3 linked regions of the Callithrix jacchus genome follow. The protein of the gene in region 3 interacts with the protein of the main gene of each other region in a pairwise test. Links are inferred from orthologs where the notes say so. Each region holds a gene or a part of one and is shown on either strand. Other genes may lie near its edges.

The links.
Region 1: the proteins of KLRC1 (region 3) and PMP22 interact in binary tests that used the Homo sapiens proteins (3 or more experiments, as listed by UniProt). The two-hybrid records come from large-scale screens. The link is inferred for Callithrix jacchus from reciprocal best matches to the Homo sapiens genes KLRC1 and PMP22.
Region 2: the proteins of KLRC1 (region 3) and MAL interact in binary tests that used the Homo sapiens proteins (3 or more experiments, as listed by UniProt). The two-hybrid records come from large-scale screens. The link is inferred for Callithrix jacchus from reciprocal best matches to the Homo sapiens genes KLRC1 and MAL.

What each region holds. Positions count from the first base shown.
Region 1 is NC_133506.1:81,772,958-81,776,605, forward strand, and holds part of PMP22 (peripheral myelin protein 22), read right to left. Parts: intron 3,574-3,648; exon of another isoform or gene 3,450-3,573; intron 1,799-3,449; 5' UTR 1,765-1,798; coding exon 1,687-1,764; intron 573-1,686; coding exon 473-572; intron 1-472. UniProt on the Homo sapiens protein: Might be involved in growth regulation, and in myelinization in the peripheral nervous system.
Region 2 is NC_133515.1:5,151,606-5,155,894, reverse strand, and holds the start of MAL (myelin and lymphocyte protein), read right to left. Parts: upstream 2,923-4,289; 5' UTR 2,838-2,922; coding exon 2,745-2,837; intron 1-2,744. UniProt on the Homo sapiens protein: May be involved in vesicular trafficking from the Golgi apparatus to the cell membrane. Plays a role in the maintenance of the myelin sheath, and in axon-glia and glia-glia interactions.
Region 3 is NC_133510.1:12,590,940-12,594,012, forward strand, and holds part of KLRC1 (NKG2-A/NKG2-B type II integral membrane protein), read left to right. Parts: intron 1-127; coding exon 128-223; intron 224-731; coding exon 732-785; intron 786-1,623; coding exon 1,624-1,775; intron 1,776-3,073. UniProt on the Homo sapiens protein: Immune inhibitory receptor involved in self-nonself discrimination.

The sequences.
Region 1 (3,648 bases), on a different chromosome or scaffold from region 3:
AGGCCATTAGTCTTGTGTCTAATGTAACTGATGGTACGGTGAGACAGCCCCACTGTCACTGCAGCAGAAAGCAGCAGGACATTTCTGAATAGAGACAACCCCCAAACCAGAGATACACGTTTGATCAGATGTCCCAAGGGGGTTTGCCTGAGGTTTAGCTATCATACCACCTCTACAGCTCCCAGGTTCACATTTTTTTAATCACAAAAGGCATTATCCCAAGTGATCAGGAGCCCACTAAGGGCATGTTTCTAGGTAGAGAGAATCACATTGCTGCCCAGGATCTCAGCTTCCCCAGCGAGATCACCACCTCTCCCCTTTTGCCCTGGACTCATGGCTCCCTGTCACATCCCACCCCACCCCAGCAACAATGTTCTGGCTTGTGTCTCCCAATAAGCGTTTCCAGGTCTGGAGCAAGAAACGCGTTACAGGCATCTAAGGACAAGCTCATGGAGCACAAAACCAGCCTCACCGTTTGCTGATGATGAGAAACAGTGGTGGACGTTTCCTGAAGAAGAGGTGCTACAGTTCTGCCAGAGATCAGTTGAGTGCCCATTGCCCACGATCCATTGCTAGAGAGAACCAGACAGATATCCTGAGTCAGGAAGGGAGTGAGGAGTGAAGGAGAGGGGGAAGGAAAAAGCCCCAGGGATGGTGAAAAGCACCCTCATCCACCTGGCTACCCCCGACCACTGCATGGTAAGAGCCAATGTTTGGTGACTTAAAAGCACTTTGTAAATGGAAAAGTTTCACATGCACACGGAAACAATTATGTGTAGAGATTTTTACTATAGTAGAAGGAGCCATACACTCAATCTCCTGAGACATTTCTGTCCCAGTATCTCTGGGGATCATTCCCCAAGCCCACCTCTCTGGCCCTATTTCTTTGTTTATAACTCCTATCAGTCTGCCATTATTATCGCCAGGCACAATGAAGATACTGTGAAGATGCTTACAAATGTCACACATCCCCAATATAATTATTTCTCACGGAGACTAGAAAATCATGCTTACAAACGTGCCTTAAATTAAGAAGTGAAAGCCACCGTGGTAAAACTGCCTGAATGTCTGATCATCTTCATCGCCAAGAAAATAACTTTAAGATCTAATGGGCTGGATGGTTTTGTAACAGAAATTACTCTGATGGCCTGTTCCTCTCAGCGGAAGCCTTACTAACAAGGGTTCTGCTTATGCCATAAAGCTGACATGGGACCTGTGAACTCTCTTCCAAAAATTTTAACCTTCCAATTTTAAGTCCTAAAAGGGTGTTTTATAAATTAGGTCACCCATCTGAGTTACGGTTTGGAGAAACACACACACACACACACACACACACACACACATTTTCATAAATATTCTTCAACGAGGCTGCATCGACCAAAAAAAAAATGCTAAACCATCTTACCAAATGAAGATCGGGGACTAGCCTAGATCTGCTCTGAGGTTATTCTGGCTTAGATGCCTGCGCAGCTAACGCAGCCCAGCTCTCGCTTCCTTCCTATCGCTGAATCTGCTCTCCTTTTCTCAAAGCAACTGGAAGCGGGCAGATTGCCAGAAACTTCCCCGGGACGTCTGAGACTTCCAACTGTCTGCAAATAACACAGTCCTGAACCAGAGGGAGCTAGGGCTGGGAACCCAGATAGAGAAGGGCGGGCCGCGCAGGGAGCCTCCCGCCCAGGCACTCACGCTGACGATCGTGGAGACGAACAGCAGCACCAGCACCGCGACGTGGAGGACGATGATACCCAGCAACAGGAGGAGCATTCTGGCGGCAAGTTCTGCTCAGCGGAGTTTCTGCCTGCGGGGAGAACGCTGGGCGTGAGGCCGAACGCACTGGGCCGAGCGAGGGAGGCGCGCGCAGAGGGAGGGTCCCGCGCACTAGCGGAAGGCCAGGCCTGGCCCCGCGCCTGCAGCCCGCCCGCGCAGGTCTGGAGCCCTCGCGCCGCCCGCTGCCGAGAGGGGGCAGCAGCCGCCTGCAGGACCAGCGCCCAGCGCCTAGCCGGGCCCGCCTGCAAGGGTACATCTGCTTTTGGAACAAATCAGGCGGCGTGCACGTATAAAATCATCCCGGGAACAGAGGGGATTCCAGAAAATATGAGCGGAGGCCACCGCACGCTTCCACCTACCCCGAGCGCCTCCCGGGGACCTCCCGGGAATGGGAGAGGTCACGTTCTCCGAGACCCCGGTTCAGAGGGTGAATTCCCCCATGGGGTGGAGGTAGGAGTGAGGCGGGTAGGCGCCCAGATTTCCGTCTGAGACCTGGAGACACCCGCGGGATGCGGTGGGGGAGACAGCGGCGAGGAGGCTGGTTTCCCAGACCGCAGTGCGCTCCGCATTCCGTTAGTCTCCAAGTTTCCACCCAATTCTGCCAGCGTAGAGGAACCGTCTGGCCCAGCTCAGCCTCGCGCAGACTCCGGCGGCTCCGGAGAGGCGGTGCAGTGCCAGGGGAGTGTGAAAAGGAAAGAATGGCCTGGGAGGGTTGTCCGGACCCTGCGCTTCCCCTCCACCACGGGCTTCCCCACGCGGCCCCTGAGGGCAGGGGGTATTCTCCTCCTGCTCTAGACCCACGCGCTCGCCTGGGGGTCCAGTCTGCACCCCAGACACTCAAAGCCAGGACACCGACCCCGTCAAGCCTGAGCTCCGGTCTGGGCGCCGTGGGACAGCAGCCCGGGAGCCAGGACCGATGGGAGCAGATGTCCAGCGGGCGGGAGAGAAAGACAGAGACTAAAAGGCTGAGTCCGAGAATTCCAGCCGGTCAGAGCCGGCAGGACACCTATCCGAAGTAATGCGGTCCTGGCCCACCCCTCATTTTAGACTTTGGGGAACTGAAGGCTGGGGTGACCTGTTAGAAGACACGCATGGCTGTGAAAGATCTGGCTGAGACTCTGGGGACCATTTCAGGCGGAGTCTAGGACCAGGGAGACAAGGTTTCAATAACTCCGTTTGCAAAGTACCCAATCCCAGGCCCCTCCGTTCCTTTCCACAAGCATCACATTCAAAGAAACTCTGGAATGCACTGGAAGAAATAAACAAGGATTTTTGGTGACTCCCAGAGGGTTTGAATTAAACCAATGGCATGAGGCTGGGAACTGGGGAACCACAGGAGTTCAGCACTCTCGGGATGTCCGCCCCAGGGACTGTTTTGCCAGTGCGTCCCAGAGTCGACGCCTCTTCAGCAAGGCGAAAACTGGGCCGCCCTTATGCTCTATCCAGACACCAGCACCATCACCCTTGCCCTGTAAGGGCTTACAGACCATAAAGGCTCTCCTCGTTGTATTACTCCAAGTCCCATTGGAAGGAAACAGGGCAGACCGGAGACCCTGTGGCCCCGACAGAAGCCCCAAGGAGCCGGCAAAAACCAGCGCCTGCTCTGCGCTTTCTGGCACCCTCTCTGAAAGATGTCCACATTTCTTCCCCATCTGCTCCACTCTCCCCACCAAAGCACTTACAGCCCAAAGGAACAGCTGTCCGGATCCTAAGGATGGCTTCAAGCACAAACTCGGGTGCGCTGGCTCCGCTGCTGGCGTCGCCAAAGCTGCGCTGCGGGGCCGCGCGCGCGCGAAGCAAGGGGGCAGTGGGAGGCTCCCGGCGTTCCCCTTTAACGGGAACAACGCCCTGTTTGCGTCGCTGCAGTAGGGTGTGTCCCTG
Region 2 (4,289 bases), on a different chromosome or scaffold from region 3:
CCACAGTGGCTGAACCATTTTACATTCCCACCAGCAGCACACAAGGGTTCCAGTTTCTCCACATCCTGGCCGATACTTGATGTTTTCCATTTTTTGGATAGTAGCTATCCTAATGGGTGTGAAGTGATATCTCATTGTGATTTTTAAAATTTATTTACTTATTTACTTTTTTGAGACTGAGTTCTTACTCCATTGCCTAGGCTGGAGTGCAGTGGCGTGATCTCAGCTCACTGCAACCTTTGCCTCCCAGGTTCAAGCAATGCCTGTGCCTCAGCCTGCTGAGTAGCTGGGTCTATAGGCATGAGCCACCAAGCCTGGCTAATTTTTTTTTTTTTTTAATTTTAAGTAGAGACAGGGTTTCACCATGTTGGTCAAGCTGGTCTCAAACTCCTGACCTCAGGTGATCCACCCACCTCGGGCTCCCAAAGTGCTGGGATTATAGGTGTAGCCACCTCGCTCAGTCTCATTGTGATTTTAGTTTTGTTTTCCTAAAGCCTAATGATGTTAAGCATCTTTTTATGTGCATATTGGCCATTTGGATATCTTCTTTGTGGAAACCTCTGTTCAAGTTCGTTGTCCATTTTCTAACTTGGTTGTCTTTTAGTTGTTGAGTTGTAATATTCCATAATTAAAAAAAATACTCTCCTGGGGTGGTCAGTGCCTTCTTAGATCCTCTAATTCTCTACTCCTTCCACACATCAAATATATACAGCTTCATATTTACAGTCCATGCAGAGGAGAACTGAGAGGCTTGGAGTCAGCTTTCTCCTCTTCTCTCCCAGGCATCTGCGAGCCCACCCCTAACCTAGAGCGTGAGGAAGACACCAGGAGATGACTACGCATTGAGGGTCTCCTGGGAAGTGAGGAAGGGAGGTAGAGAACAGGGGTGAGGTGGATAAGTGACTTTCTAAGACAGCTGAGAGAAGCTTTCTGGGCGAGGAAGAAATTCTTTCCTCTTGAAGCCAAAAAGCCATGCTGGAGGAGCAAGCTGCCAGTTGTGGATGGCTTCAAGGTTTCTCACAGCCCTGTAATCTCTGTAGCATTGGTGGGTTGGGTTGGAGCCTTTGGCCCCCTTTCCTGCAGATGAGGTCTAACTGGACTGTTTCTACTTGCAAGGGCACTCACTCTTTCTTTTTTTTCTTTCTTTTTTTTTTTTTTTGAGACGGCGTTTCGCTCTTGTTACCCAGGCTGGAGTGCAATGGCGCAATCTCGGCTCACCGCAACCTCTTCCTCCTGGGTTCAGGCAATTCTCTCGCCTCAGCCTCCCGAGTAGCTGGGATTACAGGCACGCGCCAGCATGCCCAGCTAATTTTTGTATTTTTAGTAGAGACGGGGTTTCACCATGTTGACCAGGATGGTCTAGATCTCTTGACCTCGTGATCCACCCGCCTCGGCCTCCCAAAGGGCTGAGATTTCAGGCTTGAGCCACCGCGCCCGACCTCACTCTTTCTTATATGCTGAACTTCTAAAAGAAGGCCAGAGGGGGTCGGCTCTCTGTAAATGGTGGAGCTAGGTTCATTGGCATCCAGGGATTTTTCTAAATTTAACTGCTTGGATTCTGCCAATCCCTAGGATTTCAAATCACTAGTTCCATCCAGGTTTGGGTTCAACTCGACTTTCACCCCAAGTTCAATGACAACCCTGCTCACAGAGCTGTGGCCCTCTTAACCCCTGCTCCCAAGCCCTCCTTAGATGAACTGACCTGACCTACCCTTTGGTACTCACGCCCTCCCCTCCAATCAGGCAATAACAACCTGGGGTCCAATTTTTAAAGTCAGGCTCCGACATTTTCTTTCCTACCCAACTATCCACACCGATGCTTCTGAGGCAGGGGTGCCGGAAAACGTGTCGCTGAGGCGATGATGTACCAAATCCACATAATATACAAAGCACACCCCTCCCAGTTGAGGGCGAGCGGCCCCCAGAAAGTTGAGGCTGAGGGAGGTCACTTCAGCCTCGCGACGCCGTGAGTGCTGATCAGGAGCCCTCAGTAGGAAGCGCTTTTCCGCAGTCTCAGGCGGAGACCCTGTGCGCAAGGCGGGACCAACAGCAGGTGCAGAGGCCTCGGAGCTGCCCAAGGTCAGCCGAGGCGCGCGGATCGCTCTCGCCCGCCCATCTCGTCCACTCCCACCCCACACAAGAGGCAGAAGGACTACGGCCGAGCAAACGACGGCCTCAGTTTCCTCATTTCCAGATCGAATTGGTCGCAAATACGTGAAACTTTAAAAGGCCAGAAGAAAATAAACCGGATTCAGCTCCCTCTCGTCTCCGAATCTCGGTTGGTAATACTAACATTTCTTTTGATGATTTTTTTTTAAATGAAACCTCCTTCCTTGAAAAAGCCGGGCACTTCTACCCAACCGCCCGAAGGGCGGCTTGAGCTTCGGTGGCGCTGCGCTTGCCAAGTGGGCCACACGCGCAGCTTTGGAACCGGCGCACCAAGAACTGTCCCCACCTGGCCCTCTGCCAACATCTGACCCAGGTTGCGAACCCGGTTTTTCCTCCATAGTCCCGTAGACTGTTCCACTCATTCCGTTGGTCTAGAAGGGGGCAAACGACCAGAGATGGGAGGGGACTTTACTGGCTTAGTCCCCGCCCTGCCCTTGCTGCCCCGCGGCTCCCAGGACCTCCACTGCTCCCAGGACCTGCGCAGCTCTCGGATCCAGCCCGACAGCTGTGCGGGGTGCCCGCGAGAACGCAGGGCTCAGCCCGTCCCCTCCTTTCCCCGACCGCAAGTCACTCACAAACTCAAAGATGAAGAGCAAGTCAGGGAAGGTGGTGAAGACCGAAAAGCCACTGGGCAGGGTGCTACCCCCCGACGCCGCTGCGGGGGCCATGCCGGTGTGCTGGCTTCGGCCTCGGGACTGGACGCGCGCCGCTCAGGCTCCGCGCAGATCTCTTGCTTGCTCCGCGGAGCCTCGTGGCCTGGGCGCCCCCACGCGCGGGTTAAGAGCAGGGGAGCCCGAGGCAGAAGTGGGAGGAGCCCTGGCCGCCGCCCAGCCCCGCCCCTCCGTCCCGGGGGACCCGGCCCGAGCACCGCGGGCACCGCCCTGAACCACTTCGAGGGCGGGCTGCGGGCTGCAGAACTGAGGACGGTGGTCCTGACTCTTGCGTTCCAGCCCTGGGTACCACCTCTTGCGGGAAGCAGGGCAAAAGCACTTCGGTCAAGCGCTCCTCACGCTTTTCTAGCTTGGTAGGTGAGCAGCGTCTCATAAGAATGATAACTATCAGTAACCAGGACCCCAAATCTTCCCACCGAGGCACCCCTCCAGTCACCAGTGCTTTAACTTTGAAGTTGGGTCTCCTTCATCTTTCCGCTGGATGCATTAATATCCGTTACCCACACCTCCAGGAGGTTTCCTGGCCGAATGGGACCACCGCCTCAGGCTGGGGTTCTACCGTGGGGGCTGGGACCGGCCTCGGCCGCCTGCTCCTTCCGCGTCCACCTAGCCAGCGCAGAGACCATGCACTGCCTCTCTACTTGGTGCTGCGCGTCTGCCTGAGGGTAGCAGGTTGCTCCCAGCCGCGCCGGCCCCAGGAGAAGGCTGTGGGTGGTATTGCTGGGGCAGGTCTGCCTTGAATCCATGGGACAGGAAAAGACGTTACCAGAGGAGATGCATCGCTTTCTCCTGTTCTGGGCAGCACAGCCCTTCGGAGGGTGGGACCGCTGCTACCCCCAGCCCCGTGTTCTTTGCCTGACTGTTGACTGCCGGCATTTCCTGTTTTGTTTTCCTGTTTCACTATTCATTAGTTTTTGTATTTTGCCTTTAAGCAAGTATTACCATACAGCAGTTGCCCATTTATTTTAATTTACTAATAATAGTATGATTGCTGTGTTTTCTCTTAGTATAGTATGATTGCTGAAGCCTAAAATCTGCTCCAGCCCGGATCCTCTCCTGCCAAGAGGGAATTGGCCCCGCAGCCTCCAGCTCAGACTCCCAACTCTCCTTGCTTTCCCCTGGCAACTGCTGCAGGCAGAGCAAGGGGCTCCCTTCTATCCACTGGGGCCCGCACTCTCCCCGATGCACAATTCTTCCTCCTTCTCAGTCCCTAGGGAGAGAAGTACATTCCTGGACCCATTTCCCAAAGCAAAAGTAGCATGCCCATGAGCTGGCCATTCTAACTGCTCCTGTAAAGGGGTCAGGCATTTGAAATGAGGAAAGCCCACTGCTCCTCTGTGAGCTGCCAGCCTGGATGGCCACAACCAAGGTGCCATTGTGTCAGGTCCCCAGGGCAGCATCCTTCGAGACACAATGGGCTGTGGGACTGTCAGGAGCCCAGGTCCTCAC
Region 3 (3,073 bases):
GACATGAGGGTTTGGGGCCCACGCTTCTCTGTATGATCCCTGTGCATTCAGGTTCTCTTGTCTGGGAATCTTCTAAACAACTGTATCCACCTCTCCTTTTGCCTGCTTCTCATTTCTGTCCCTGCAGATTTACCATCAGCTCCAGAGAAGGTCATTATTGGGATCCTGGGAATCATTTGTCTTCTCTTAATGGCCTCTGTGATAACGATAGTTGTTATTCCCTGTAAGTCTATTTTAGAAGATTACAAGGAAAATTCTCTCATTAATAATTGAATATGCCCCTAAACATTTCATATTTTCAGGGAATAGTATTCTCATTGTAATGTATATATTTGGACTAAATGTGGAATGGTTATTCTGAATTTGTCAAAGAATAAATGAAAGAATGATTGTTGAAAGCATTTCCTTCTGATTCAATTGTGTGTATATATTTTTATTTCATAACTCAAAAATGAAGGGGTCTGAAAAATCTTTCTGAGAAAAGAAATTAATTTTTGAAAGTAGTTAAATCACAAACTATAAGAACTATACGAGATGGTGAAATTTGGTTCTTTAGGTCTTTGAAATACTTTTGTAAAAAAACCATAATTACTTTATCAAAATTTTTCCTAAAATCAATTTTATTCTATATTATTCTAACTCTAAATAATATAACGAATTTCAAACAAAAACTAAAATTTTTCTGATTGATTTAGATGCTAATTTTTACAGATTACTTTATTTTTTTCTAGCTACATTAACACAGAAGCACAACAATTCTTCCCTGAATACAAGAACTCAGAAAGGTACATAATAATTTTTAAAGTTCTAATATTGTACAGTTTTCTCGATCTTAGGCTGTGCAAAAATAGAATTTGGGGGCTAAGCGCAGTGGCTCATGCCTGTAATCCCAGCACTTTGGGAGGCCGAGGCTGGTGGATCACGAGGTCAAGAGATCAAGACCATCCTGGTCAACTTGGTGAAACCCCGTCTCTACTAAAAATACAAAAAATTAGCTAGGCATGGTGGCGCGTGCCTGTAATCCCAGCTACTCAGGAGGCTGAGGCAGGAGAATTGCCTGAACCCAGGAGGCGGAGGTTGTGGTGAGCCGAGATCGCGCCATTGCACTCCAGCCTGGGTAACAAGAGCGAAACTCCGTCTCAAAAATAAATAAAATAAAATAAAATAAAATTTGGGGTGATAAATAAGTTATAAAAATTGGCAATAAATGTTCATAAATAAAGATGAGGGTATTACCTTGTCATTAACTATAAGTAAAATCACTATACCTTCTTTTGTCTGTTGCGTTCAAATTCTTATTGCTGTAATATGATAAGATACAAGTTATTTACTATTTTTTTTAAAGCAGCTTGGTTTGTTCATTGATTTTCAAGACACGTATAGAGTGGATTTTTGTTTGCTGGTTTGCTTTATATGGGAACACAATTAGGACATGAGAGGCTGACCCTTTATTGTGCATGTGTGTATAAGTGACTGGGTATTTTAAAAGTATGTATTTACCAGCCTGTGAGGATGGATAGATATGTTGCAGACATGTAGCTTTATGCCTTTGCAAGTATGTTAAATAATTTTTATTTTAAAAATTCACATTGTTCTGGATAGTAATTCCTGCTCTTTATTTAGCATATCGTTGTGACCATTGTCCAGAGGAGTGGATTGTGTATTCCAACAGTTGTTATTACATTGGTAAGGAAAGAAGAACTTGGGAAGAGAGTTTGCTGGCCTGTGCTTCGAAAAACTCCAGTCTACTTTCTATAGATAATGAAGAAGAAATGGTAAGATGTAAATGTTTTAAACACTTTACGAAAAGCTTATTTCAGTCAATAGCATATTTGTAACATATTTGTAGAAATCATATATATATATTTAGCTTATATATTTTAAAGTCTGTGTAATATTCAATAGTTTGACTTAATGATGTTTTAAAATTTGTATACTGCTAATGTACTTTTGAAAATTTTCAGTTTTTGCTTTTCATGGAAAACCATGCTTCTGTAAATGCTTTGAACCCACAATAAATTTTGCTATCTAATTTTATCAAGCAAGATATGATCTGGTCATGCAGGTTGATCACAAAGTGAATGAACTCACGTGATACAAGTCAGATCAGAAAACAGAAGTTCCAGCTCCAGCAGTTCACCCTGTGCGTGCCCTCATCACTTATCCTGGCTCCTCTCTGAAACACTGTCTTGATTTATAACGTTATAAATAATGTTTGCCTGTTCTTGAATTTATATAAAGGGAATAATACAGTGTGAATTTTCATGTCTGTCTTTTCCACTCCTGTCTGATATTTGTGCAATTCCTTCATATTATTGCAGTTACCAGTCGTTTGTTACTGTTCACTGCTATATATATACAAAGAACACTAACAATCCATTCAGTCCCGTGTCTCTGGATGGGGAAGTGAGCCTCATGTCCTCAAAGACAAAGAGGAACCTGGATGGTGCACTGATAGTCATGGGGTCCCTTTGCTGATCCTCCTCACCCACACTCATCCTGGTGTCTATTGGTATCAGAAGGAAGCACTTCCTCTGGCTCCTAATTGGTAGCAGATCTCCTGGTAGATCATCCTTGCCTTACCTGGCGTTGTGGAGGGGACTCTTCCTCAATACACAGTGGAAGTGAGCTTTGCTGAGCCTCCTCCTTTTGCCAGGTCAAGTGCTGGGAAACAGCAGACCTATGTCACTTTCTTCTGGGTGGAGAACTTAACATGCTCCCTTGGACACTTGGTTGATCCCCAATGCTAGGGTCCCAGACAATTTCATCTTTCTCTTTCCAACTTTCAGAGTTCTCTATTGCTTTTGTCTTTCGTTAATCCCAGAGTTTAAGTTGTTTTTAGTAGGGAGTAGCAGAGAGGAAGTAGCAGAGAGGGACATTTCTATACCACCTGGTAAGGACCACTGTTATTCCACCAAACCGAATCAGATGAAAGTATAAAAGTGAGGGTTTATCTAGTTAAAGAAGGTGCCCAGAAAACCCAATCTGTAGCTTCTATGTCATTTATTTCTGAATGACAACCCCTCTATTCTCTTCTAAGTCTACAACTCTGAGAAATATATAGTACAAAAGT